Linked DNA regions of Arabidopsis thaliana. The protein of the gene in region 3 interacts with the protein of the main gene of each other region in a pairwise test. Each region holds a gene or a part of one and is shown on either strand. Other genes may lie near its edges.

Evidence for each region.
Region 1: the proteins of AT3G10260 (region 3) and AT5G61340 interact in a two-hybrid assay, tested with the Arabidopsis thaliana proteins (one large-scale study listed by BioGRID).
Region 2: the proteins of AT3G10260 (region 3) and AT4G08230 interact in a two-hybrid assay, tested with the Arabidopsis thaliana proteins (one large-scale study listed by BioGRID).
Region 4: the proteins of AT3G10260 (region 3) and LCB1 interact in a two-hybrid assay, tested with the Arabidopsis thaliana proteins (one large-scale study listed by BioGRID).

What each region holds. Positions count from the first base shown.
Region 1 is NC_003076.8:24,659,406-24,666,035, forward strand, and holds AT5G61340 (uncharacterized protein), read right to left. Parts: upstream 3,813-6,630; 5' UTR 3,739-3,812; coding exon 2,659-3,738; 3' UTR 2,274-2,658; downstream 1-2,273. Other genes in the region: AT5G61330 (rRNA processing protein-like protein), read right to left, coding at 229-533, 618-715, 915-930.
Region 2 is NC_003075.7:5,185,240-5,192,709, forward strand, and holds AT4G08230 (glycine-rich protein), read right to left. Parts: upstream 4,556-7,470; 5' UTR 4,336-4,555; coding exon 4,317-4,335; intron 3,312-4,316; coding exon 3,208-3,311; intron 3,126-3,207; coding exon 2,942-3,125; intron 2,843-2,941; coding exon 2,808-2,842; 3' UTR 2,546-2,807; downstream 1-2,545. Other genes in the region: AT4G08210 (Pentatricopeptide repeat (PPR-like) superfamily protein), read right to left, coding at 1-634.
Region 3 is NC_003074.8:3,169,173-3,176,338, forward strand, and holds AT3G10260 (Reticulon family protein), read right to left. Parts: upstream 3,821-7,166; 5' UTR 3,397-3,820; coding exon 3,156-3,396; intron 3,082-3,155; coding exon 2,901-3,081; intron 2,817-2,900; coding exon 2,675-2,816; intron 2,573-2,674; coding exon 2,503-2,572; intron 2,411-2,502; coding exon 2,241-2,410; 3' UTR 2,050-2,240; downstream 1-2,049. Other genes in the region: AT3G10250 (histidine-tRNA ligase), read right to left, coding at 1-165, 445-627, 978-1,083, 1,199-1,246; GYRB1 (DNA gyrase subunit B), read right to left, coding at 4,633-4,701, 4,796-4,926, 5,112-5,217, 5,301-5,354, 5,444-5,560, 5,637-5,750, 5,838-5,905, 5,987-6,101 and 3 more.
Region 4 is NC_003075.7:17,216,389-17,225,101, reverse strand, and holds LCB1 (long-chain base1), read right to left. Parts: upstream 7,194-8,713; 5' UTR 6,815-7,193; intron 6,795-6,814; exon of another isoform or gene 6,686-6,794; intron 6,605-6,685; 5' UTR 6,505-6,604; coding exon 6,399-6,504; intron 6,287-6,398; coding exon 6,192-6,286; intron 6,068-6,191; coding exon 5,976-6,067; intron 5,896-5,975; coding exon 5,802-5,895; intron 5,724-5,801; coding exon 5,651-5,723; intron 5,557-5,650; coding exon 5,424-5,556; intron 5,286-5,423; coding exon 5,111-5,285; intron 5,010-5,110; coding exon 4,869-5,009; intron 4,783-4,868; coding exon 4,687-4,782; coding exon of another isoform or gene 4,663-4,686; exon of another isoform or gene 4,595-4,662; coding exon 4,453-4,594; intron 4,354-4,452; coding exon 4,226-4,353; intron 4,152-4,225; coding exon 3,978-4,151; 3' UTR 3,477-3,977; downstream 1-3,476. Other genes in the region: SFH12 (SEC14-like 12), read right to left, coding at 294-308, 422-496, 574-977, 1,086-1,146, 1,226-1,288, 1,390-1,464, 1,544-1,643, 1,731-1,780 and 5 more; AT4G36470 (S-adenosyl-L-methionine-dependent methyltransferases superfamily protein), read left to right, coding at 8,627-8,710. UniProt on the Arabidopsis thaliana protein: Component of serine palmitoyltransferase (SPT), which catalyzes the committed step in the synthesis of sphingolipids, the condensation of serine with palmitoyl CoA to form the long chain base 3-ketosphinganine.

The DNA.
Region 1 (6,630 bases), on a different chromosome or scaffold from region 3:
TGTTCTTTTCCTTTTAAACGTATATATTTTCTACTAATCACGAATAAATCCAATTGCTATAATGAGTTCGAACCTACTTCTAAATCTAGCCAACATCCTTGCTGATCTAGATTAAACAGTTGAAACTTTAATACGACTATCTACCGTTTCTAGAAAGAAACACATACAAGAATTCACTATCTTAGAAATAACAGTATTTAAAAATGATTAGTTCAAATGAAATCTTACTGCTCTTGTGAACGAAGCTCCTTGACCTCTTTCTCAAGCTCTTCCATCTGAGCATCTTTATTGTCATCATTACCTTCATCGCCACTCTCACTCTCTTTATCATTTCCATCTTCAAAGTCCTCGCTTTCTCCATCCTCGTCTTCCTTGTTCTCTCCTTCATCATCTTCCTCGCTATCTCCTTCATCATCTTCCTCGGTATCTCCTTCATCGTCTTCCTCACTCTCTCCCTCATCATCTTCCATGCTATCTACTTCATCATCCTCTATCCCATCAGGTAATTGATCATCTTCATTGTCGCTTTCGGCCTATAATATAGAGAACCCTCAACCAAATAAATTCACCTATACCATCTAAATAACTTAAACGAGACAAAAGCAACATAAACATACCTTAAGGTTTTCTTGGTCGCTTATGTCTTCCGATTCACTGTCAAGTCTTGCTCTTTTAGACCTCTTTGACCCCCCAGCCATTTTAACAACTTTTAATGCTGCAATCACGAAAAACTAACTCAATTGAGGAAGGAGAAACTATTATACAGTGGATTAAGCAATAAAAATATTGAAACAAATAAAGAAGGACCAAATATAGAGCAACAATGAGGTAACCATACCATCAAACAAGCTTTGTCAAAAGCTTCAAACATAAAAAAAAAAAAAAAAAAAAAAAAAAAAAAAAAAAACAGAGACCTATAGATAATCTCATAAAAACAGCTCACGTGGATCAGTCAAAGGGTCTTTGATCAGTGCAGAATCACGAGGGTAGCTAATTGGTGATAAGGAAGCACAAGGAGACAAATGTATATAGGGAGAATTCTAGATTGACAATCAATGATAGAAAGCAACCCCAAGCCTTTAAAAATCGACCCATCAGATTGCACACACAAATCAGGTTCATTGTTGGAGAGGTTGCGGAGCCACAGATGCCATGGCTCAAGACATGGACAAGGGCCCTCTCCTATAAAGTTCAAAGATTGACTCCTCGTAACTAAATTAAACATCAAAAGCCACACACTTTACTCATAACCTGCTCAGACCTTTTACTTTAACATTCATCATCTCCACCACAATGTCACAAACAGATTACAAAGAACAACATTCTAGAGCTAACACAAGTTTAAAGCAAGAAAACTTTTGAATCAAACTAGTTTATGAGTTCGAATGTTTCAGGAAGAGAAACGATTAAATGAAAAAGGGAGAGACTTTGAGCAGATACGCAAGAGAAAGCAGTGAATTTTGAAAATTAAAAGGAATCATACAAGCAGAGGAGCTTACCTAAAAGCTCTGTAGAAGCTGAGACGCAAATAGGAGAGGTTATATCTTCGACTTGGAATCGCAGAAACTGGGAATCGTCTCAAGCACAAAGCTGTCTACGAGCAGAGGAAAAGTAAAAGTAAGAAGAAGCTCTCAACCAACTCTGGAAATATTAAAACCCTAGAGGTTTCGCTTAACCCATGAACCGGCCGGTTCAACCAAAAATCCGGTTTAAATGTTTTAATTTTGGTTTGATAGGACCAGATTATACGATTCGGTCGGTCGGACCTGGGATTATAAACCCTTGATCCTAATTCCTAAATATGGACCATGAATGATTACATTGTTTTGTATGTTTGGAAAGCTACAAAATTTTGCTTGTTATAAAATTCATCTTTTTGTGCTTAATTGTTTCTTGATCTCTTTAGATGCAACATTTCCGGATTCCACTCTTTTTAACCTATAAAAGTAAATTAGATTCATTCATAATTTCTCCATTAGAAGAAATTTTAGGTAGTACTGAACTATTGTATTAAAGGGCTTTTTGTTAAAGAGGTTCAAGTAGAGAGATTAGTGATGTAGACCACCCACTAGCCATTTTTTGTCTTTTTAAGTTGAGCTTTTATCATTAACACAATTTCAATGTATTATTAGGATTTTCATTCAACGAAAAATACAAAAAGTTCAATTGCTTTCGCCTCTACCGTCTATTTAAAGATAATTGTGACATTTCTTCTTCTCTCTTTGTAATGAAAGATTTTGCTTGAACTTATCCTTGCTCAAAAACAAAAGACTCTTCACTCTTGTTAAAGTGTGAATCTAGTCAACATCTTCATAACTTAAGGAAGTAATCAAAATCATTGCTAATTAATATATTTTGTCGGCAATGAAATTATACTGTAGGATTAACCAAATGTGAATTCCAAGATTTGCATTAATTAAAATTTCTGGTATATTTGACTTTACAATGTGGAAAAAAAAGAGACTAAAATAAAGAAAAGCAGAAACAGAGGAAGAAGAAAAAGTTTTGCAGATCCTGTGATTGTTCTTTACTGTGTGTGTACCTTTGCTCTTCTTTGAAGTGAAAGCTACTTGAGATTATCCTTAAAGAATCAATAATCTCATAAAGTTTTTCACTTTTTTTGTATAAGTAATAATTACATCAACCAACACAAGAGAGTCACAAGATTTCTTGCAAGTTCTTTGATCCTTTGATGTGTATCTTTGTGTTCTCTGTTTCGCTGATTTGGATCTTGATTGAATACTCGTCTTCTCTACCGATATTTTGATCTTCCTCGTTTTTGATGCAGCTCTGGTAAAAGAGGAAGTTGACTATGGTGTCAAGAACCAAGAAGAGAGCGTATAAGTAAGCTATGAAGGTTCCTTCAAGAGCTATGGATATGATATCTCTGTCTCCATTGTAATAAGATCTCATGACTCGGTACTGAAACAAGGCTTCGACTCCTGCTAAGCCGAGATTGGTAGGCAGAGCAAGAGCCATTGCTGTTGAATTTCTTCCGCGAATCAGAAGACACGCCTTGAGGATGTTTGTGTATCCTCCCGAGGAAGAAGAAGGTGATGAAACCAAGGCTAGATTAGAGATGACAAAGGCGTTTGCGATGATAATTGAGTAGATGATTGCTGAGGATAGGGAGAGGAAAGTGTAGAAGTTTCTTGAAGAGAATCCAAAGGCTTCAAGGGTATTGTATGCTAAGAAAAACAGAGCAAAAGCAGAGGCGTTTGCAGAGAGAAGGAAGAAGAAGTTGCAAACGTAAGTTTTGAGAAGCCGGAGGTAGAAAACAGAGGAGGAATCTGCAGAGTGATTGTTTGATAGAAGTTTGATGACGTAAGCTTTGGATAAAAGGAGGAATGTGAGGGAGAAAGGAAGAGTGAATAAAGAGGAAGATAGGGTTTGTGAGAGTTTAAGGCTTAAGATGTTGAAGAAGTCATGAGAAGAAGAGAAACCCGCTCCGCGGAAGAGCATGTTAAGCCTCATGTGAAGGGTGGAAGAGGAAGAAGAGAAGAAAGGCTGAGAGAGGAGGAGACCGGCGGAGAAAGGGAGGGCCACGGCGGCTGCGGTGGTGACACGGTGGTAGTTTTGGAGGAAAGTGTGAATTGACCTTCTCATGATCTTGCTTGGATCCTCCATTGTCTTCTTCATTCTAGTTTTTGCTATTTTCTTTTCTTTGGAGAAGTTTGAATATGTGTGTTTCTTGAATGATCCACCAAATCTTGAAAGGGTTTTCTCAATGCAGGTCATCTATATATATGTATATAAAATATGTAATGATTTTTATATTATTTATATATTTTTTTGCTAAAATTTAATTGTGGGTTGGGTGTTAGAGAAGAGAATGGAGATAGGCCAACCGATTTTGCCTGAAGATGAGGAGTTGTTTAGACAAACTAATCAAATTAAAACTCTTCTTTTTCTTTGTGAAGCAAAGTTTTTTGCATGGAATAGAATCTTTCGTGTGAGTAAAATAATACATAACACCTCCTTGTTAGGTTTTATTGGGTATAATATAGATTTGCTTCGTAGGTAATGTTGTTAGGATAAATGAATTTCCTTTTCGTGATTTAATTTTTATACATATATTCTAGAAAAGTCTTTTACTTGTGTGATATGCTTAGTGATTTAATTGGTTTTGGATGCTTACTATACACTCCATTGTATATATATATATGTGTGTTTGTGTATATATATATATATTAAATTGTGACAGAGTGAGTCATGTATTAGTATTCAATTGAAAGCTTAATAATGATAGGTTTGAGGAAACTGGAGGCTTAGCTTTCAAGAAATTGAATAATGATAAGAGCTCAAAAGAGTAAAGTTTTTAATAACCAAATTTATATTGGTAAAAATGGTACTCTTGTTATGCTTTTGATCATAATGTAAACAACAAAAATGATTTTTGAGTGAGAAAATTCCAAACTCTATTAACTTTTCTTGAGGCGACTTGATCATATATATGCTTACCAAACCTACTAAGTTTAGCTTTAATGAAAAATAAGAATGTTTAAAAAAAAACTCTATCCTAGAACACTTGAATACTTATTAATTACCAATTGTGTTCTTGTACCAATACAATAATATGTTAACCAAGTTAATAATTTATTTTAAAATAATCAAGAGAAAATGGAAATTAGATAGAAGAAATCATCAAACTTTGTCCAACCTGTGGCATGCATTTGGTGTGCAGTCTTATTGACTTGGACTTGGTGGTTAGGGAGTTCTCCATTTCCTTGTTTGAAATTTCTGATTTTCTTATATATAGAAATATATCCACTCGCAATAATATACTTTAATTAATGGCATATGGTAATAGTTTAAGCGTGAACCATTATTATTGAGTTTCCATTAGACGAACAAAATCAACGAGAAAATACACCTGGAAATTTGCAATTTTATTTTCATATCTATTTTTAGTTGAATGGTTTAACGTTTACCAGGTAACACATCTTCTTGTTTTATATAAATCTACATATAGTCCATGGAGAAATAAATCTAGAAAAAGCTTGCTAAAATCTTAAATGGAATAATCTTAATAGTTATAGGTATAAAGTCTACTTGTAATTAGGTATTAGTCTACTAATAATTGGAGTTATAACCATTTTATAAAGTGAGCTATAATGTTTGATTCTAAGCTACTCCAACAAAAAGGAACTCGACCGTACATATGTGTAAAAGCAAGAACATAGACTCAAAACATTTTTTATATGTGATATCTACTGAAGGTCTCTTACGAATATTCATTCTATTTTCTTTAGTTTATACAAAGATTATGTAATGTTAGAGAAAAGTATATGTCCATCAATAATAATTGATATTTTGGCGTCGACCATGACTGTTGAACGTCTATTTTTGGTTATTTGCTGAAATGTTGATGTGTTTTTTTTTGTTTGTTTATTATGACATTGTATTATCACAGTTTTAATTTTTAAATTATATTCTGATCAATTTTATAATTTAGTAACATCAATAGACGCAATAATGTATTTCTACAAAATGAGTATATATTTTCTTTTATTGATGTTAGAATTTTTAAAAATAAGGATGGTAGAATCCAACAGAAAAGGTTGTAGTGTTGGTGCTTAGTACAACCGAACATCTAACAAACTAACAACACTATGGTTAAGGTAAATTACCAAAATTAATCCTTCTTGTTGCCATGCCTCTTTCTTACACGACTTTCATTTAAGTGTTCTATTAATATTTGTTTTTTTGAGAAAAAGTGTTTATTAGTTATTCCATCTGTTTCTTAATAAATAATGTTTTTGGAAATTTTTGTTTAAAATTAAGTGATTTCTCATTTTTTTTTTAACATAAAGTTTATTAATTTTGATGTTAGTTGACCATTTGTGTTCTGAATTTTGTTTTATCATAAAAAACATATATATAATTTCCTTAATAATCAACTAATTTGATATACAACACCCATAATGACCTAGTTTATTTATTTTCATCAACAATATACATATTCTGAATTTGAGTGACAACACGACTTTAACACAAACAATGTCGGATATCATGATCTCATATAGTTACTTTTTAGTTGATCAATAAATATTGGTCACATTTTTTTGTAGAAAGTCAAAATCGAAAGGATGAATATGGATCCTATAAATTCTGTTTTTGCAATAAAGGAAATACTTCCAAACTCTGGTATGGTGCAATTAGAAGGACCTCCAAAAACTAGAATGGACAATATGCTACAACCAAATCTAAAGTCAACATTCCTCACATCACAACTTTGTTATACTTTTTTTGGTTCTTCTTTTATTAACTACAAAATTTGAATTACATGCCACAGGTTAAACTTATGAATTATGATGTAGACAATTATAACGAGAAACTTACAAATTATATTTCATGTTATTTAAATCTACATTCACAACGATAATTAACAAAACATTTAATGTACAATTAGATATCGATTAAATACTAAATCTCTCTCTATATATATTTTATACCATCACCATCATCATTATTATTACCACATATAATTTGAATAACGAAGAACCAATCAATCATTGTTTATATGTGATTTTGGATGGTGTTGTTTTATCAACCGATCCAGAGTATTGTGACATGTAATCTACCTAATCAATTATACATTTGAGTATGTACTGGTAAATGAAATCACAA
Region 2 (7,470 bases), on a different chromosome or scaffold from region 3:
ATATCAAACAGTTCCAAGACACGACATTTGGCTGCGGCATTCGATGGAACAAAGTAACCGCTTCATCCATCAAACCAGCTTTACAATAACCAGAAATAAGAGTGTTCCACGAAGTCGAACTAGGCCGTAAAATCTCCTTAAAACTGCTATTAGCTTCGATAAGTCTCCCATTCTTAACATACATATCAACAACACTATTCATCAAAACAACATCACCTCTCAAATTCTCTTTACCAATTCTTTCATAAACCAAAATCCCCAGCTGAATATCACCCACTAACCCACAAGCTTTCAAAACCGCAGAATACATAAACTCGTTCGCCGCTTCTTCTTCGGAGTCTAACATTCTTCTGTATAACTCAATAGCTTTATTGGGTTTTCCATCACTCGTATACCCAGAAACCATCGTTGTCCAAGTTACAATATTTCTCTCAGACATTTCATCGAACACTTTATGTGCATCACTCAACAACCTGAAATCCACATACATTGAGATCACGTTATTCGCTATAAACACATTTTGAGAGATCCCTTGCTTGATTACATGAGCTTGAATTGATTCTCCACGCTTAAAGGCTTGTACTTTCCCACAATGACGTAATCCTGCTGCTATAAGCTTCAAGTCCATAACCATTCTCCAGTAGGAAAATTTTTGACAATTCCGTTACATTTACAAATTGTATAGTCTCCACGTAAAACGGAAGGTAGTTTTATGGAAAAACTAAAAACGGCACGCTGTTTAGTACATGAATTGATGACCGTAAAAACGGTAGGTAGTTTGTTTGGTAAAGGGAAAACGGCACGCTGTTCAATACGGTAGTGGCTGCTATAAGCTGAATTTTCAATAATTCGGTACTTGACATTGACAATTACAAATTGTAAGGTCTTAACGTAAAAAGTAAAAACGGAAGGTAGTTTATTTTAGAAAATAAAAACGTTACACTGTTTAATACAGGAGGGAAGATCGTAAAACGTCACGATGTTCACTATAGGAATACAAGAACGGTAGATATTATGTTGTGGAAATTCCGGTAGGTATTATGTTGTGGAAATTCAATACGGCAGGCTGTTCATTGTAGGAATATACAAACGGTAGGTATTGTGTTGTGGAAATTCAAAACGGCACAATGTTCAACATTGGTGTGAAGAAAAATCTCATAATTTAGGATCAATGGCTGATAAAAAAAAAATCAGATCTGAAACTTTCTCCGTCGTCGCCGTCTTCCTTCACGAGCTCCTCCTCTCTTCCTAAACTTCAATCTCCAGGTACTTTTTTTCTGGTCTTTCATTCTGTTATTGTGTTTGCGATGGCTTCAATTTCAGTTTCCAATTTTGGTATTGTATTGTTCTTTGTAATTTATCAGATGAAAATGAAAGATAGTCGTTGCACAATTATACGTTTCGATTACGGAGGATGTTATTCGAAGAACGGAGATGATATACGATGGAATCCGAAAGAAGATCAAATCTATACTTTAGTGATGAAAGGAGCATTCGAGGAGTTTACTTATTCCATGTTGGTTGATAGAGTATGCAAGAAGATTAGTGTAGATGAATCCGCGACGATGTTGAAGTTAAGTTACGTTCCGTTGTTAGAGGATCCGAAGAGGCAAACGTATATTTTGGATGATGAAGATGTTTTAGGATATTTAATGGAAGGTGATAGTAATCAGCGGAGGAATGTTATGCATGTGGAAGTTGTTATTGAGCAAGTTTCGGGAGACGATCGAAGAAGTGGAATTGCGAATGATGCGGTGTTGGTTAATGGTGAGAATGATTTGAGTGATGGAGTTGCGTATATGGATAATTATGAGATGTTTGTTGATGATGTACAAGTAGATGAGGAGGTTGTGAATGTTGAATGGGAAGATGGGATTGGTTTGAGTTTAGGTCAAGAGTTTGAGAGTAAGCAGGAAGTTCAAGATTTAGTTGAGAAAGCTGAGCTTCTGAACTATTTTGAGGCTGCTATAATCAAGTCATCACCTGGATTATACGTGTTGAAATGTCGTGGTGGTAGTGGTTGTAAATGGTATCTACGAGTTGCGCAGGGTAAGAATTCGGATCGTTTGTCTGTTAGAACGTACAACAAGATGCATACGTGCTCTCGGATAACTACTAGTACACGAAGATGTAAAAGAGTCGCTACACCACAATTAGTTGCATCTGTTTTGCAAGAGAATTTTCCAGAGGGGTTCGATACACTAAGACCGAAAAACCTCATAGATTTGGTTCGAGAAAAACATGGCGTTAAGGTTTCATACGCTACTGCTTTGAGAGGGAAAAAACAAGCTGCAAGAGATTTGCGGGCTAATTCACATACTCCGTCAGATTGAAGATCAAGTTAAACCTTTGCATTTTTTTTTATCTCATGAAACCAAACGTTGAGGATTTTTGTTGAAAAGAGTCCAGTTTAGGAGTAGTCTCAAATTGTGAACTCTTGCAAAGTTCAAGAGTCTAAAAATGTCTCATGCTTTGGAATATCAATCTTTTGCTGGCATCATTAACCTTGGATTCTTACAAAAACCAAGCAAAGAAATTGTGTGATGACTGACACAGCATTTATGCTTTATTCACAGGTTTCGAATTCGAATTGACACATCTATTATAGGTGAATTTCAGACTTCAAACGTTCTCAGTATCTAAATACAAAAAGCTTTGATTAGACCCAATTACAAAATACACCAGAATCATTGTTCCTTTGATTTTTCATATTCCAAAAGCATCGTTTTCAACACTAAGTAATATGTAAATATATGATATATCCCTTCGTTTATTCTTGGGCGCTCCACTGTCCACACAAACAAGGATTAGCCACAGCACGAGCCACATGCAGGTAGGGAATCTGAAAAACATCAGATTTGAGTCAAAATCATTCACAAGGTCTATGCGTGTTTTCTATCATCAAATGAATCAAATATCAAACTCATCGCGGGTGACTTACTGTGGTCAGCTCCACGGATATCATTCAAACCACGAACATTGTCGAGGCCCCCACGAGGAGGTCCACCACCCCTACCACCACCACCACCGCCACTGCCTCCGCCTCCACCACCACCGCCACCCATGCCACCACCCCACTTCTTATTAGGCTTAGAGCCTTTCCTGTATGCATCTGATTTCTCCATCTGTCCAATAACACTCTTAGGTCAGTCAAAGCTTGAGACAGCTTATGGAACCTAAATCCAAGAAACGAAAGCAGAATCATACCGAAAACATGGTTACAAAGAAGACTTGTATTAGATTAATGATGGACAAGAAGAAATCTTTGATCGTCCTTAGTCTCCATATTGGCCTCTTCGCTTTAACCACACCTGGTACATGTTCCAGTGTTTTTCAATGTCAAATACAGTTAATATATGCACCATCTATCTCTGTTTTCAGAATATATCTCCAGCTATCAATTAAAACCCCAAAAAAACAAGATACACAGATTTGAAGAAGCTTCTACATTCCCTATAAGACCCAAAAATCCCTCCTAAACTCCGACGACAAATCTCTACAATGCTAGAAGAACGTGAGACGTGAATATAGAACACGAACTCGGTTAATGCGCTTATTGCATTTGTCCAAAACGCTGTTGCTTGTCCACAGTCATACATTAATATCGAATTGAGCTTCTATGATCACAAACTATTGAACATGATCTCGCTTTACGCTAACTTTATAGAAACAATGTCACCTTACAATTACTCAGCCATAATCAACACTCTTTCACTAACTTTTCCCACTATAAATCTCAAAAGTTTTAACTTCGTTTAAGCTTAGCCATTTAGATATTCAAAGTCTAGAAATGTCTCCTGCTATGGAATGCTCATCGAGCTTTGTATTCATATCAGTTTTCTGAGAATCATATAATAATGGAATGATTATTGACCTTATCTAATTTCCATCTTCCATAAACCTATAAAGTTTCCCATAATGGTGACACATCATCCCGTATAAAACCTCAAAACCCTCTAAACATTCATGCTCAATCCGAATTCTGACACATAAAACCTAACTTCATAGATATACTAAAGCAAAAATTCTGTAGAGACAATGAATATAGCATTACTATAGTTATGAATCTAATTGACCTAATTTAAAGATTCATGATCAATCCAAATTCAGGAATATAAAACCTAACTTTTACATATACATCAAATTCACAAATTCTGTAACAATCAAAGCTTAATAGTTATGAATCTATGTTCAAGGAAAGAACAATTACAGGTTTGATTGAAAAACGAACAATCAGATCGAATTTAACCAAATTGATGCCAAAAAAGAAATCCAGAAATCGAAAAGAAACAGAGAGAGAGAAGAGAATCTCATACCTCCTTCGACGTACGCCATTAAAGTAGAATTCTGGGTTCTTCTTCTTATTCGTCAACAGCAAATCTCCAGAGATCAATTAATTATCCTCCAAATAGCGATTAAGGTAGATTTTATATCGTCTCTTTTGACTCTTTGACGTGTTTGTGTTAGAAGTTTCGCGACGTCTACGTGGATTTGTCACGTGGCATACTCTCATTGGAAACTGTGATCCTTCTGTTTTCCCATTCTTTAAATTTCTGTTTCATTACGTGAATAAATTGGCAGGAAGATGATTTGATTCGTTTTATAATCTAAATGGTCTGGTCTACAAAATATTCTTTTTTTTTTTTTGTTAAAGGGTTTGTCTATCAAAAAATTCAATCCAAATGTTTTAATAAATATTGTTCGTTTCCATTTTTGGATATTCAATAAATTTTTGTTTGTTTGGGTAATTTTTATAAATTTTCATCTCTATTTAAATAATTTTAACCAGAAAATGACTAAAATATCTATACTTTAATCAACTTTTAATTTTAATTTTAGTCTTAGCTATATTAATTGAATTACTGCTTTAAATATATTTACAACTAAATATTTTTCAAATTATTATTTTGAACATATAAATTATTTTTTTGGGTTTTGACAAAAAAATATAATTTTGTGGTTTTGCCGAAAAATATAAGATTTTGTGTTTCTTACGGAAAATATGATTTGGCAGAAAATATAATTTTACGGTATTGGTGGAAAATATGATATTGTGGTTTTGGCGGGAAAACATGATTTTACAGTTTTGGTAAGGAAATATGATTCCGCAATTTTGGTGAAAAAAATGTGATTTTACGGTTTTGACAAAAACATAATTCGATTTTTTGATTTTGATGAGAAAAGATAATTCCATAATTTTCCGTGAAAATCATGATTTTATAGTTTTGGCAGAATTACGGTTTTAGCGAAATTTACGACTTGAAAGGTTTTGACAAAAACTTTATTCTCCAATTTTTCTGGTCATAGTGAAAAACAATTCCGTTATTTTTCCGCCAAAATCGTGATTTTTTTGTTTTCGTTGAAATGTTATTATGCAATTTTTTCGCAAAAAACACAATTTTGACCCAAAAAAATTGTTCGGAAACAAGCTTTTTAAGATTTTCGTAAAACGCAATTTTGCAATTTTAACGGAAAATTATAATTTGTGATTTACGATATTTTGGAAGAAAATTAGTGCAGATATAGAATTTTTAAATATAAAATGAGAAATTAACAATATTTGATATATAATTATAATTGGGAAAAATGTCATTTAAATTATTAGTTTACCATTTTTGTTGGTTTAAAGCATGAACTCTGGACCGGGTGATTTAAATCCTCAATTTTATGTTGACTTTGAATTTAATCATGAATTCTTGTTGACTAAGCCAATTGAGGCACAAATCCTCTCGTTTTTACGCCATTAGTCGATCTAGAGACGATAATTACTTTGAATTCAAAGAAGAAGATGAGAGAATCCGAAGAAAAAAAGAGAGAAAAAATTGAAAACTGATTTTGGTGATTTGGGGTTTTTGATTAAGGAATTTCTAACGATGTGCGTTAATTGACTTAGTTAACGAGAGTTCGTGATTAAATTGAAAGTCAACATAAAATTAGGAATTTAAATCACTATGTCTAGAGTTCATCCTTTAAACCAACGAAAATGGTAAACTGATGATTTAAATGACATTTTTCCCAATTGTAATTGAGGGAAATTTGAATATTTGCAATTTTTGGAAGAATCATCTCTATCTGACTACACCATTTAAACTCATCCAAATTTTTGGATGTTTTTTGGATGAGTTTGACAAATACATCCTGATGGCTCATCTCAATGATGTGTTTAAGTGCACTAAACGAACATAATTTTATGTCTTCATCTAGATGGTCCATTTGGATGAACAAACGAATAACACCTTAGTAGTTGAAGTTTGATTACTTTATGAAAAAGGACATCGAATAGTTTGATCTTTTTTTTTTTGGTAAAAAGTGAAATTTTATAGCACTTTATATATTTGACATAATAATTAGAAAAATTTGAAACTAACTGTAAAGCTCTACAATTTTTTTTAAAACAACACAAAATACAAAAGTTTGCTGCTTAGTGGTTATGGACAAGTAACAAGTAGAATTACCGATTTCGGGCTCGTGAAGCTTGGATATTTGCGTGGTTGCAGCAAAACTGAAGAATTGGAATCCTCATCGTAGTTGCCACAAGCCTAAGTATCCAAGATCCGTCTTCAAAACCTGAAGATAGAAGCGTACAGATTTTCCGAGAACTAATGGAAAAAAGCATAAGCAATCGTGGATTTTTTACACTAGCTCATCGAATTAGCGATAGCAATTAGACTTATTCACCGCATCATTTCAACACTTGGCAACCAAGTCAATGCACCAAGTAGGTAACGTTCACAACAAGAACCTTAACCGAAACACCTTAACAACAAAACTTTACCTTAATGTCACCGAAAATGAAGCAATGAACGAAGACAAGCAGTCATGAAGAAGCCATAACCACAAAAATAACATAAGTTGACAAAAAAAGAAATTATTGGACTATAAGCAAAAAATTTCAACTTGTCTCACCAAATAAACATACAACATTTGGTAATCAGAAATTAGGATCGATAGATTTAGATCAATATGTTTTCTCTTTCTCTAAGAGGTTTTGCCAAAAAGGAAAAACACAACCAATTCTTAAGGTTCTAAAATTTCTTGTAGACTTTTGACAAATATACAAACAAACATTTGAAACCGGACTCGTATTTTGACATGTTTCAAATGCATCCCATGTCAAAACATTTGCTCTCAAATGGTAAACTCTTTGAGAAACTAAGAGTAATAATATAGTTTCTTCATTAGTTTCCCTCGGACAAGATTACCAATTGAAACAAAAAATGTGATTCAAAATATAATGATTTTTAAATAATTAATATTATATAATCGAATATTAAATAATAAAAAATAAACTTAATTGGTCATATTTATTTTAAAGACTTAAAAAAAATCTGAGATTCCACATAGATATTCAATAATGACATGACTCTTAAATTTCTTTTTGGTTGACAAAAAAAGATACTAAGATGATAACCCACTTTTGTAATCTCAATTAATATATATGTAGGATTTTCAATTAAAAAGAAAAGAAAA
Region 3 (7,166 bases):
TAGCATGGGTTGATATGTTTATAGAAGAGGGCACGTTTGTATTGAGTGTGGAAGAGCCATTGAGGAATGCATTAGACAGACTAGAAGCCATTGGATGATGTGCACTTTCAGACTTCAAAGATTGGTCAGTGTGCTCAGAGGGATAGCATAATTGTTTCTGATTCACTGTTAAGAAAATCACATAGATTAGCTATTTAATACTCATCAGTTAGCGACTTGAATGAATGACTAATCTAAGGAAAACAACAAACACATAATGTTCACAGGAAAAAGAAACCTTGAAAAGAACTAAGGCAGCAAAAGTGGAAGCCAGAAAACAAGACAATGCATATGAGGACTGTTTACTACAACACTTGAACAACAATTCATAGCAAAAGTATACAAGCAATAAAGAGACCCTAAAATGCAGAAATTAAAATCCATCTCACTCCAAACGAATCTTACTTGATTGAAGATGAGAACCATTTGTGTTTTGGACAGAAGCAACACCAGTTGGATGCATCTGACGCATGTGGTGAACCTGCTGCTCAAGCAACTTGTTGAATTCCATTATCTGGTGTTTAACCATTAGCCTAAGATAGTAAGCTTTGAAAAACTCCCGATTCTCTTCTTCAAGCTTCTGCCAAACTTTTAAACATAAAAAGAAAGCGTGTTATCATAAATCCCCATTTTTTATCATCGATACTCACTACTATACATATTCTCTCATATTTCATGATCTATTGAGCACTTCCTAACTAGGTTCTGACCAATAAGACCTTCTTGGTGACACTTGAACCAAACAATACATAAGATTTCAGTTTTAAGCAACAACAAAATCATTCACACATGATTTTGGCTACAGATGTCCTGAACTGGTAATAGATATATTAATACCTTTTCATTCACAGTAATGAATCCAGATTCATCAATGAACAAGGATTACAGAATCAGATGCTAATTTCTATGAAAAGAAAACAGAGTATTTGAGTGGCTACCTAGTTCTGTGAACCCAGGCTCGATTTTAGCCTGCTCTAGTAAAGTATCCACAACTTCTTTCTGATTCATGTAAAGTTGAAGGCATCGTTCTATAAGGTTTTGAACCTGAAACCAAAAGTAAGTTTTATTGAGTTGGAAGAGGACGAATTCAAATTGTCGCAGATTCAGACAATGAAACCAAAGGCCTTCCTTCATCATGATCTATTTTTGTTGTTATTACCAGTTGTATATCTTGACGTGAAACCCTTCTCACTGTTCCACTCGACATCTATGAGACTTTTGTAAACCAGACCTTGTTCCTGTCAGGCAAGAACCAGTATTAAGAGAGGGTACAAGGGAAATCGATTCGAATCTGTACAAGTTCAAAAATTTATATCAAATCATTAGAGGTTTTTATCTCCCACTAATGAAACAAGGTTCTTTCTCTAGGTTTCAAATCCAAAAAAAAACAAAAAAAAACAGAAAAAAACAGAGAATCAGAAATACAAAATAATTCACAAATAAGAACAGATTGAGAATCATCTATTTTACCCCAAACTAAACCTCAACACTTCGAATCGATTTCGTCTTCAAATACAACCGGATCACATCAAATCAACAACAATAACAAAAAAAAAAAAGAACATCAAAACGATCAAGAAAACAAATTCGATTAGCTTAAGAAACACAAATTTCATAAGCAAAAGAGCACCTTTAATCGGAGAAGATTCGAGAGAGAAAGAGGTGGAGATGGAACCTAACCTCACTTTGTTGATCGATCGTGGATCAATTTCTTTACTCCATTTTCTTTGATTTACTTCTTTTTATATTTCTTTCTTTTAAATTTTTTAATTTTAACATTCAGGCTTCGAAGCTCAGGAAGCTGACACGTGTAAAATGTTTGACAATGGTGGATCCCATACCTGTAGAGTTATCTGATCTTCTTATTAGCCAGCCGGTCAATATTAGTCAACGATTCTTACGAAATAAGAAAACCATACTTTTGATTTGTGAAATAATTTTGATTCAAACTTGTTTTAAGTCTTACATTTTTAGACATTGAGTTAATGAACTCTCAATCTACTTGTATAATTTTGACAGATATGATGATTCTCTTATTAACCAAGGTATTGACAAATACATGGACAAGGTATTGTTTAGTAAGGAAATACACAAAATCTACATGAATGAATAATATTCTCAAAACATTCATTTAGCAAACCATAATCCATATTGTTCTAACAACAAACAAGGTAAAATAAGAAAATGCTTGAGTGATTTAGTCACTCACGCTTCTTTAATCCAAACTTTCCACTTGGGATTCTACTGAGAAACCCAGTATCAAGCTTCTTGTAATGACTATGAAACTTCATGATCATAGAATCCATAAAACCATCCACTTCGTCTTCGTATCTCTCATACAGAACCGGCATTGTGTGTGCCCCAACAAACCCTTCACACACACACATAAAATGCATCCCTTTAAAGTCTTGTATTACTCAACTTCCAATCTCAAAAGAGGATACACTAATAAGAACCACTCACCGATATACAAAACAGTTAGGAAATTGCAACAGCTCCCGACCATTGCAGCTACCCATAGTCCGATTACAGCCTGAAAAATGATATTGTGATCAAAGTTTCTATCTTAGCATAGTAATGAAAGTGCTAATACATTATACAAACAAGATTGTGGTTATTGAAACAAACAACGCACCATGAGGAACTGTTTCAAATTCCCTTTACAAGCCAAGTCCTGAAGAAACAACAAACCGCGGTTAACTTCTTTTCCAACGGCCACACCGACTTCAGCAAAGAAATCCTTTGGAAGAACTAGGCGAGGCACTCTAGACTGTGAGCTGCTTTGAGACATTAAAGGACATTGTGTTAGATTGCAATCACAAGGTACCAATAATAATGACAACAACACTCCAACAAGTTACCGGTTTAAGAATCCAGAGGCGTTAGACCAAACGAATTGTGCAATCATACCAAGCAAGAGGGCATAGCAAACGAGAGACAGGAAATGGAAATTGATCCATTCAAAAAGCACCCAAATTGCGGTAGCTCCCATCAAAACACTTGCAGAGATCTTCTTGTTCCTCCATAACAACACATCAGCAGCTGAAGGAATCTCTCAATACTCAATTACAAGAAAAACCAATCTCATATTTATGTTCCTGTATACGAATTCTTACATTTGCCACCGCCTAAGACATGATGAATTGGCTTCTGGCGATCAAACAAACGGTTGAAACGAGAACTGACGGAATCTTCTTGTTCGAAGAAGGAGGAACCATGTTTGTTCTTCTGAACAGTCTCCGTGAAGTTATCCACCAAATCACCGATAACGTCCTCTACGATGTTCTTGTCAGGCATGATTCTGAAACACAATCGAAATCTGAGATTGCTCAATTTGCAGATGAAAGTTGACTTCATAAAAAATTGAATCTTTTGATCAGTTCTTCATACCCTAAACCCAAAACCATTTCGAGTAATCAAATTTGGTCTTAACAGTTCGTTGGTGATAATTACAATGATATAAAACTTAGATCTTAGTATATTTGGCGAGAAGACAAGAACAACAAAAAGACCAGAAATTGAAGAGCAAGAACGAGACAAAGATGAAGATGAGTAAGAGTAAACCTGTAGGAACTGGAGAAGAAGAAGAAGAAGAAAAACCTTGGTTGTTCTGTGAATTTCACCCAAAAAAAGTTGCTTTCTTTCGTTGAAGATTCTCTCAATCACGAAGAAAGATGGAGGGCGGAAGTGAAACAAGAGATGGGATTGGTTGTGTCGAATAATTGAATTACAAAAAAATGTTTTTTTCAAAATGTGGGCAAATGTTGGAGTAGTGTGTAGTAATAATGGATAGGACTTGTCTTCCCACGTGTAGCTCATGACAATAAACAAATTATTTTTTAAGAAGTATTATTGGACGCCAAAAAAAGAGTTGAAACGTATCGTTTGTATTTGCAAGACAAACAAAAAGAAGTTTTCTGAGTAGATTTATCAACCGTTACAAGCCTTGTTGAAAATAAAAAAATTTCATTTATTCAATGAATTAAAGTCACACTAATATGGTTGACTGGTTGTTACATGCGTGATGCGTTCATAACACTGCTTTAGGTTGTTCAGGAAGAACAAAAATCATGTTTAATTCACTATATACCTACCAAATCGAAAAATAAACTTGTTAATTATCGATCACTCTGCGATCGCTAGTAAAACATCAGTCAAAACTTAACCTCGAATACAATTAAAATCAATACAACAGGCAGAGAAGATATTCATTGCACAATAGTTACCTTCTCATCTTCCTTCTAATCATTAGTTTTAACTTCGTCGCATGCATGATTTTCAGGAATGCCAAATTGTTGAAGTCATAATATATAGTAAATACCTAGTGAATGCAAATTTCTCTTGTCTCTAGAAAAATTCTAGTTCCAATGGAAAGAAACGCCCAACAAAGAGCCTTGTGAATTGCTAAATTTTGACATTGAAAGAGATAATCCTAACAATGAATTTTGTCCTTTATAGGCCAGAAGAAGAACAAAATCCTGTTGGCCTGTGACTATATGATTTAACCTTGAAATGATGATGTCTCCCTTTGCATTTCACCAGAGTCGTTTCTTTGTTGTTTGTATATAGCTGAAGCAATAACTATAAGCTGTGTTATATGTCGAGATTCTCCAGATTCATCCTAGTCGCAGCACTTTTGATGAGTTCCTTCCTGACATCGACCTGAAACATACACAGAACATAACATTGTCACGATGAGTTATGCCAGTTTATTGACTATTATCATGAGTCCGAGTCTGGCAATTCATTGGCTTACCCGAGCACCCATCAGAGATGAGAAGACCATATTCGTTTCTGCTGCGTCGTCAACAACTAGTTGCTTCAATATCCTTGTATCTGGATTCATCGTTGTTTCCCATAGCTGCGCAGGCATCATCTCACCCAAACCTGCAGATGCAAAAGCAAGAAACATTACATAGAATCCAATAGTTGAGACTAATCTAGATTTCGTTATGCACACACTCAAGAGTATCTTAATAGCTAACACATAACAACTACTATACATTACTTTTCATAGTTATTTATCCTTTCCAAAAGAACACATTCATGATGTGAGAAGTAGGATGTTTTACCTTTGAACCTCTGAATGTTGTAGGATGCGTTTCCAGGGAACGAAGCAGTGATTTTTTTAAGAGCTGCATCATCGTAGCAGTAGTGCGCCTGTTTCCCCCTCTCAACCTGATCGTTTTCACAGAGAGACTAGCTTTAGAAAAAAATTCCGTTCAATCTGAAGCATAAGATTATAGATACTAAGAGCTTACCTTGAAAAGAGGTGGAACACCAACGTATATGCAACCCGCGTCAAACAAGGCTCTCTGTAGAAAGTAAATTTCATTAAATTTCACATAACTCAATCAGCAATCAAGGCTACTTCAACTAATGTTTTATCAAACTAAACTAGTACCTGATATCTGAAGAAAAAGGTCAACAGAAGTGTCCGGATATGTGCACCATCAACATCTGCATCTGTTAAGATGATAATTTTATGGTAACGCAGATTCTCCTTGTTAAAATCTTCTCCCTGAAATAAGTTTTATGTCAAACTGAGTTTTCCGAACATACCAACAAACAGCAGGATATGAAAAAGGATATATTACCTTAACTCCAAGACCAAGGCCAAGAATAAGATTTTGAATTTCTTCGTTCTTATACATTGCTGCTTCATCCTTTCTCTCAATATTCAAAATTTTGCCTCTCAAAGGAAGAATTGCCTGCATAGATCGAAATACAGTGTTACAGACTAACAAAATAGAAGCAGAGCCTGTTAGTGACACGCTGAGCAGAATGATTTTTTTTACCTGGAAACGCCTGTCACGACCCTGTTTCGCGCTGCCACCAGCCGAATCTCCTTCGACAATGAAAATCTCTGGTAGCATAGGAGATAGATGTCAATAAACTGACTAACTTTCACAGCTTACAAGGCACTTTCATATTGGTTAATGCATACCAGATTCTGCAGGATCTGTAGATGAGCAATCTGCAAGTTTCCCAGGAAGTGAGGATGACTTCAAAACGCTTTTTGATCTTACCAACTCCCTAGCCCTCTTGGCAGCCAGAGCAGCCTAAAAAGAAAGAGTCAGCAAGGAAAATCCATGGTCATTTGGTTGAAGTTAGTAACTAGACATACTGTAGGAGACACATACTCAATCAAAGAATACGCTAATCACAGATATCAGAAAATGCTTCTCAAGGGATAAAACACATGTTTGAGTGTTTGAGTGCATGTGTGTGTAGGTGAAGATGTGACAGTATGAGCAGGTATTTCAATGTCGCACCTTGTACGCATTCAAGGATTTGGAAATAATGCTTTCAAGTACATCCGGATGCAATTCCAAGTACTCCGTGAGGTACTCCTGGACTGATTGGTCAACAATTTTTCTCACCTCTGGATTTCCTAGTCTTGTCTTTGGGACACAAAAAAATTAAAATGATCAACAGAATCCAAGAAAACTTATGGCCTGCTGACCAGAGATTGTTGACAAAAATGAGGGTCAACATATCATTATGCTCCCTAGTACCTTTGTTTGACCTTCAAACTCAGGGTTCGGAACCTTGACTGAGACAATGCAGGTCAATCCTTCCCTAACATGTTCCCCACTTAAGCTAATATCCTTTTCCTGAAAACATAACCAACAACAATAAGTTACACTATGAGTTAGCAACCTTTTCAGAACAGGTCAAGATAAATGCTTAAATGTAAGCAAAAAACAACCTCTATAACTGGCATGTTTCACAGTTCAATCATGGTAGTACATTATTAATTGTCCGTAAAGCATGTCTTTTAAGTGCAGATGAGTATTTAAATTTAGTCTCAATCCATGGAGAGGAATAGATAATATAACCCTTGACCTACATTATCTCAGAAGACTCTTTCAACCACAATAATGACCAACTAACCGCAATTAGGCATTTGCAGTTTCCATGAAAAAGGAGGAAAAGAGAAGGGGAAAAAGGCTCTAAGCCTCTAAGAGTGGAAATATAAAGTGGAAAAAACGCAGTTGGTAAGTTGTATCCCACCTTGATAACCTTTAACTTTTTTGCAAGGGAATTTAGAGTTCTTGTTAATGAAGCCTTCACACCTTCTATATGTGTCCCACCATCTATGGTCCGAATACTATTCGCGTATC
Region 4 (8,713 bases), on a different chromosome or scaffold from region 3:
TTTCACTCATGGGTTTATTTGATAATTACTAAACCACCGCTTCTGATTATATACTTGTGAGTTAAACTAGTAGGAAACTACAAAAGAAAATTGCAATTTGATGTACATGGTATTTTGATAATATACACAAGAGAAAGAACAAAACTTTCTTTCTTTTCACCATTCTTTAATAATAAGAAACACAAGAAATTGGTTTTACAATAAGCTTGGCTTTGATGATTTTGGTCAGAGATATTTTGGATACAATCAAACAAATAAAGCCACCACTAAGCCTTCGCTTCATGGTTCTTCTCTCACCAGTAGTTGAACTGTTCCAAGAACAAGCAGAACAAAAGATCAGTCATAGAGGTTATGTGAAAAAAGCACAAGACTTGATGGCTTGTGTCTCAAGTTCCAAGAGTCTAATGAAAGAAAGACTTACCAGCTTCTTCTTCTTCTTCTTTTTCTCGATGTACGCCACAAGCTCCTCCTGACGACCAAGAGAATCATCCAAAGCCTGCATTGTAACGAAAATTAGTATTAAAAAGAACTTTAATGGAGGAAGTTTATCTTAATGATTCAGAATGTATGTACCTTCTTGGTGGCAGCAAGCTCTTGCTCCAATACATTGGACCGGCTAATGGCAGCGTTAAGCATCTCTTCCTTATCCGGAGGCATAACTGTTGGCTGCGCGCTTAAGACGGTCACTTTCTGTTCCAACTCAGCCATTCGTTTCATAATGGCCATGAAATCTTCCCCTGAGATTGCAGGTACAGTCATTTTCTCTGACTGCATCGCACTCTTGTTCATTGATGCATCATCGCAGTACACGGGGCTCGAGTACAAGGTTGACTCGGTTAGTTTCCTTGGGACGTTTTTAGTCACTTTAATCATAGTGACAACACCCATCACAAGAGCCATGACCCCTGTGAAAATAGGTGACCTCCCTCCTTCTGTTGTAGCGTTGTTGCACGCCTCTTGAATGGCGTAAACTTCTTCTGCTTAGAAGAGAAAGTACAAGAAGCGTTAAAGCTCCATATGTCTTAGCTTTAACATACAACAACCATATTGCAAGAAAAAGAGATGCACAAGAGTCATCATCTTACTCTTTGAGAGGGAAAATTTGTGAGCTTCTGGCATGTTCCAAGCTGGGTGAGCGGCCGGGACCTGAGTCTCGAGAAACGAATAACGATTAAGTATTAAAAGCGAACTTGATATCAAGAGTTTAGAGGTTGGCCATTCTTACAATTTCGACCTCTTTTGAAGCCTTTTCCTCTTCAGAAGCCGGCTCTGTTGTAGAGTCATCTTCCTGGAAGATCATTGAATATAATTAGCATTGGAAGGAGTGATCAAGATTCAGGTAAAGGAAACTATTCAAGAGATATAGATAAGCTCAAAGTAAGCAAAGACCTCAGGGATGGTCTTCTCTCCAGAGTTTTCAGCTTGGGATCCTTTTGAGCATTTGTGATCACCATTGTGAACTCTCTGTAAGAAAAAATGAAAAATCAAGTTCACTCTTGTCATTTATGTTGCTGTCACTATAGTTGTCTTAAGAATCATTCACCTTCATGATCTCTGGATTTTTCCATGGGCCTTTGTCAGAGCGCATGCAGCCACCATTGTCAGCACAAGTACATGAACCTCCAAGAAACTCAGGAAGTTCACTGGTCACAAATTAATAAGAATCAGTTTCATGTTATATAATATATAACATAGATTAATTTGTATGCTAATCGTCTTGCATAGCTCACCTTTCATCAATTATCTCAAGCAACTTGCTTTGGTACTTGTTGCCAAGAACCTGGTATTCAAACAAAGTATAATTACTTAAATTGTGAAAACTAATTATCATTCAGAAGAAGATTCAATAGTAAAAGGTTTTGAATACTTGCATGGATTTTTGCTGTAGTCTTCGGGTCAAGGAAGGACTTAACCGTGTTCCACAACATTCTGAATCCTGAGCCAGCATTGATGATAAACATCCTGTTCAAGGTCTGATCCAAAGTCGTTACAAAGTTAAACTACTGGTTCATAGACCAGTGGAAAAGAATTGAGCATGCAGAGATATAAATCACACCTCAGGATAGTTGTCACCATCGACCTTTTGAAGACGAGTAATCAAGTCTCTAGCAGCCTTGTTGAAGTTTTTCAGTCCCTGTTATAACAAAAACAAGGAAAGGCATGTTTAGTCACATACTGGAAAAGCATTGAAGGTCTTCTCACATAGGTTTTTTACATACCACTCCTTGGACATCAAGAATAGTTGTGCTCTGATCAATGTGCTTCTTCGCGGCGATAGAGCACGCTGGGAACTTAACATTGAAGGTCCTCTCAAACTCCATAACATGGTAGTTGACATACCTATCCATGGTTGTGACTTGCATCAACTTGGTAGAATCTACTAAACCAAGCCTCTCAATGTACACAGGTCGTCCTTCCTTGTCAACTCCATGGTGTCCTTGAGGGTAGTATTTCAACACTTCATCAATTTCCTTGAAATCAAACTCCTTAAAAATATACAAAACCAAAGAAGAGAATGTTAGTACTACTCAAAGAGACCATTTTCAAATCTGCAAAACGTTCCTCTAGAATAATAATCATACCTCCATGACAGTATCAGCACCAAATTCTTTCCTCCATCTAAGCATTTCAGTCCACATCTGTTTGGTTTTCTCAAGATCAAATTTTCTAGCCTTCAAAAATCTAAGCATCATATGGTAGTCATCGTGTTTCTCCGGGAGTAGCTCATCGAGAATAAGCGATTGGCGAAAAGCATCAACGGCTTTCAACTCCTCTGCGTCATGCACATCTTCGATGATCTCCACAGACATCACTTTGCTACTTCTTCTTCTCTTTGTCATTGAATACCTCAAATTCTTAGAAGAGCTCCTCTTCTTAAAAGAACCCATCCTTGGTTTCAACTCGGCATCTAAACACAAAACAACATCAAGAACAAGAAGATAACAAAACAGAGAACTAAAAAATCTCTTCATTTTTGTTTACTATACCTTGGATCAAAGTCATGATTTTGCCAGATAGTTGGAATTAGGCAGGTAAGGGCACGAGGGACGAGCACTCTAACGAGTGTCTTATTATTTTTAGCCAATGCCCTTTGCCAAATTCCTGTAAGAAATTCACATTCCCTAATTACAAATCAAATTCGAACAACGATAACGATGAACATGAAGTTAAGAAAACAGAACAAAACAGAGAGACAATTAAAAGATAAATTACCTCTGCAAAGAGGAAATGAGAGGAAGGAGAAAGATAAAAGGAGAGTGAGATTGCTCCGAAAATCTCTCAAAATCGTTCCATTGGATTCTCAACTCCATTAACGTCGAGGTAAAGCTCCACCTCATATTCTCTCTTTCCCCAACCATTGATTCTTCTTCTTTTTTTGGTCACTGTTTTGTTTTTGTTTTTCGTTATGCAGTTCTAATTATACAAACTTAGAAACAGAGGAAGAGAGATTACCTGTCCCTCGCTCTTTCGTTCACATTATACCGCCCACGAGTGTTATACTGACACGTGTCAATTATGCACGAGTGTTATACTGACACGTGTCAATACTATTGAGATTTGAGAGAGGCAAAAACACTTTCTTTTACCGCAAGAAACTCAGAAAGCCTTAAGAGGCTGATGTCAGCACATGAACTTTTTTGTTTCCCATAAATTGAAAGTTTTTGAATTTCGGCAACAACACTAAGCTACTTGATCATTGAAGGGTATGAGTAGGAAAAAAAAAAAAAGAACTCAGATGATCAAATGAAATAAATGTAAGAACAAGAAGCCATTGTCTTCGATAATCCTCCTTCGTCAATTGAGCTTCAGATCAACCACAAGCCCATCACTGAAAGTGGAGAACCAGTTTAGGAATCTGCTATGAACATCTTCAAGCTACTGACTCTGCGGATTCTGTTGTCTACTATCTCACACGGATGTGTTCAAAGAGTTCCCTTCAGTGTTGTTGTTCTTGAAGAAAAAAGAGTTTCGGTGTTTCAGGACTTGAGTAGAAGCTCTGAAGCAAGTCTCTTCAGTGACTCCGACGCTTTAAGAAGATCGGATTCCGAATGTCCCGCTGAGACGTAGAGTTTGATTCCCACAGGTAACCGGCATTTATCAAGAAATGATCTTTTAGAACTCACAACCAACAATGAGTCTTCCTTCAGAGCCTGCATGCATCTAGTCATGTCAAGAAACGGGGACAGGGTCTAGATTTGGTTTTGCAAAGAAACAATGAACTTACACGGTCAGCCATTTTCTCAAGTAGAAGCAAATCATCTTTAGCTGAACCGCTAGATTTCTCTAATTTTAAGAAAACAATAGGTGATTCCCGGTTGCTTGTTAATGACATCCCCTTGATATCTGACAATCCTGCGTTGTTCCCAGCATTTCTTTTTCAATTAGAGGAAGATAACAAACTAAATCAAACTCTAATTGTTGCTAGATTAGATTAAAACTTGAAGATCAAACCTTTCCATAACAGAGCAACATTTTGCTTCAGCTTAACTAACATATCAGGGTTTTGATCAATGACATCAATGGCGGTGATAGCAGCACTTGCAAGGTATGGTGGTAAAGAAGCAGAGAACACATATCCTGAACTGCTAAGTCTCTGTGCATTTGAGCGTCCCAGAGAAAAGTTTCTATTATCGGTAGTTTTTTAATTTTGTTTGTAATTAGTTAATCAGCATGATCGATGTTTACCTGGTAATCGATGATGCGGGCATTCCCAGTGCAAAATCCACCTTCTGTGGCTAATGCATGGCCCATTGCAGCAGTCACAACATCTATCTTCTCAATCTGTTTAAAGATAAACCGCCGTGAAATTTTTAGCATCAGGTTTGGCAAATGAGAACACTACTAAAATGTGTGTCAATCATACTTACAGGGACACTATGATGCTCTGCAAGACCTCTCCCAGAACGGCCAAGCACACCAAAAGAGTTGCTTTCATCCAATATAACACGAAACCGATACTTCTCTTTTAGTTTTACAATCTCATCCAGAGGCGCAATTTGACCTGAATTCTGTAGATTTTAACATACCCAAAGGCAAATGGGTAAGCATCACAGTTCAGGGAGAATTTTCAAAATATGGAAGCAGGAGAAGAAAGAAAACTGCCAGGTACTTGATATACAGCTTCAGCTACAATATAACGCCTCAAGTTCTTTGAGCGCTTGTACTTTGTCATGATTTTCTCAAGGGTAATTCGAAGGGATTCCATGTCATTGTGCTTGAAGTACACAATTGTACTTCTTGAAAGCTGAAGTCCATTTTGTATTCCCCAGTGAACACCCTCATCACTAAGAAAATAGAAAAGACAAGAATGAGTTTAATATCGAGATAAAAAAGTTTCAAACAAAGATGTTCAATGTAATCCTGGGATTTCTACTAACGTAATCTAATAAGTAGAACGATGTTATAAGAAATTGTGTACTTACGCAACAATGACATCGCCTTTCTTACAGAAACAAGGAATTGTGCTGAACATTGTGGAAAGTCCATAAGAGTAAAGGATTGAATCAGGAGTACCCAAAAATTTGGATATTCTGGTTTCGCAGTCAAGGTGGACATCTAGTCAAGAGAAGTAATCAAACAGTAAGAACCCTTTCCAAGCGAGCCAATGGATGAACCAAAGTATCTATTTAGAAAATTATTGTCTTCTTACCAATTGTACCATAGAATCCACGAGGCCCACAAGAACCGACCCCATATTTTTCTAATGCAGAAGTACATGATTCCTGGCATAAGACAAATCTTAAATAAAACTATTCAAACAGAAGAGAGATTGTATTGAAAACAAAGTAGCTTCACGTTACCAGCAACTTCTCGTGGCCAATGAGCCCAAGATAATTAGCTGAGGCAAAATTCACCACATCTTTTCCATTAACTGTTGTATGCGGTCCAGCAGCACTGTATGGACCCAACAAAATCTTTAAGCATAACACAGAATAAGGCTATACAACGAACTACATAGAAGTCTTCTACGTTACCTTTCAAGAACTGGTGGCTCATGCTTCATGTCTTCAGTAATTGGCGGTATAAGAGGTTCAGGAACCCACTCATCACACAACTCATCTATTTCCTGAGTAATAAAAAACCCCGAAAACTCAATACATTTCAACTATACCACACATCAAAGATGTCACCACGAACCAAATCCTATGTGATCTATCAAACCAATATCAAGAAAGGATCTGAGACAGAACCTGCTCGGTCAATGGTCGCTTGGGAGGTTTATAACTCTTCCGAGTGAGGAGAATGATAATGACAACACCCAACAACCCTTCCACAAAGAAGTGCCCTGGAAAACGAAAACAAAAACAAAAAAGTTGAAATCTTTAGTAATCTCAAATAACCAACAAACTTGGATAGACAGACAAAGTTCACTTAAAGTTGTTTCTTCAAATCTATACCTCGGATTGGGACACCAAACAAGACAACTCTAGCTGAAGGACTCTCCAGAATCATAGTAACCCAATTCAAAGCAGCATTAAACATTTCCACGAGATTCGAAGCCATTGCTAATTTGCTTTAATAAAGCTCTGTACTTTTTTCTTCTATAGTATTAATTTGCTCGACGAATCGAGCATAAGAGAAGCTAGCTCAACTTTGGGAAAACCTACAAAACCCAATCTTCAATTAGTATTACAAATTTTCAAAATTCACAACAAAAAGTGGCAATTTTGAATCCAAATTCGACCCAAAAAAAAACTATCAGGAAAGATCTGGCATCGGATCACTGAGCAACGAGAAATCGAAATCTCGGAGAACAGATTAAGAAAGTATATATGATTACAAATAGATCCGACAAATAAACGAGGAACGTTACCTGATCCCAATTGGATTTTGGGTGGCAAAATGGACAAGGAGCAGAAGGTATCGTGCCCACAAGAGTGTCAAACACACGAGGAGTGTTGTTCAAATTCGGCGATGCAAAAAGATTGACTTTCAACGTTTTTTCGAGATTTTTGATAACGCAGACGGCAAAAAAAAAAAATCAATTTCAGAGAGAAAAAAAAAAAAGTAAAAGAAGAAGACGAGCGGATCTGTCTATGTTCGTAATACGTCAGTAGAATCCTGGGCCCAGATCTGTGTGTTGGTTCATCGATACGACGCCGTTTAAGTGTTAGATATGGGCCTAGAGGCCCAATGTTTCAACAGCACACACTGTGACACAGTCACTAGTAAGCATTCATCACCACCACTAAAGTCTTAAAGGACAATGCAAAGAGAGAAAGAAAGAGTACTAAAGCCTAAAGGTAAGGAAGAGACAGAAAGAGGAAAATGGTGGTCACACACACCAATCATCACCACTCATTCTTGTTTAGCTTTTTTCTAACCTTCTTGTAATCATATTCGACCCCAAAGTTCCCCCTACTTTTTCTGTAATATTTTGTAGCATTTACATTACACTATACATATATTATTCCTATTCTGTTCAACCATAGTATCATATCATATTCATATTTACATCTCACGAATTAGTTGCTTAGATACGACGTCATTTTAATGGAACGGTCTTAGGTTTTAAATATGGGCTTTGTTAGAGGCCCAATGACTAACTTTTAAGTGATTAACTTTTCACCACACTTGAAAAAACAAAACGTAAGCAACAAGAGAGAGACGATCATGGTTGAAGAAGAGATTATATGAAGAAAAAAGATTGATACGTTACGGTTTTGCATTAATCCCTCAAGCGACACGCGTGCGTCCCCCTCGGCCCTCTCTCTAACCACAAAAACCTTATCATACCAAGTACCAACACACAGTCTCTCTCACCTAACAGAGCATTTACACTACCCTTATGACGCAACAAGCATTCATGACCACCACTAAAATCTTGAAGGCAAGGCAGAGAGAGAAAGAAGATTACTAAAAAAGCCTTACGGTAAGGAGAAAGAGAGAAAAAGAGAAGGAAATGGTGGTCACACACACACACACACCAATCATCATCACTCATTCTTGTATAGCTTTTTCTACCTTCAAAAGTCAATCAGTCTTCTTCCTCCTATCTCCCAAAGTTTCCTATACTTTTTTGTATGTTTTGAAACATTTACATTACAATTAAAAATATCATCCATATTCTATTCCACGATTTTTCATATAAATCACCAAATAGATTCTAGCAAGGGTAATTTTTCTAATGAAATTTAGTTTATGTTTAAACGAATAAAAGTCCTTAAACAAGAAATGGCAATAGAGTCCACCACGCAAAGCAAGAACAGAGTCTAGCACTGATAGCAAGAACAGAGTAAAGAAAGTACAAACATTACATGAAGCCATCATGATGTTGTTTGACTAATTTATCCTTTATATTTACATGAAACATTATCCTCTACTTTGTTTATTCCTATTTTTGGTCACTTTGGACTACACCTGCCATTTCTCCTTAAACTAAATTCATCCAACCAAAGAAAAATTTATTTTCGTTGAATCATGACCAATGATGAACGAATCCCACATCGTATTTTCAAGAAAGAAAATAGATGGAAAAGTAAACACACAAAAAAAAAGGTAGGGTAATGGAAGAATGAAGTGACAGGCCAAAGATTTCTCCTTTAAGAAAAGCAAATTCTAACACCAAAAGAACAAACCCTAACCCAAAATTATACTAAATTTCTTCACTTTTATTGTTATTGTGATGGATAAGAAGGATATGGAGAGAGAGTTTTACATGACAGGAGGAGATGGAAAAACTAGTTATGCCAGAAACTCTTCCCTCCAGGTA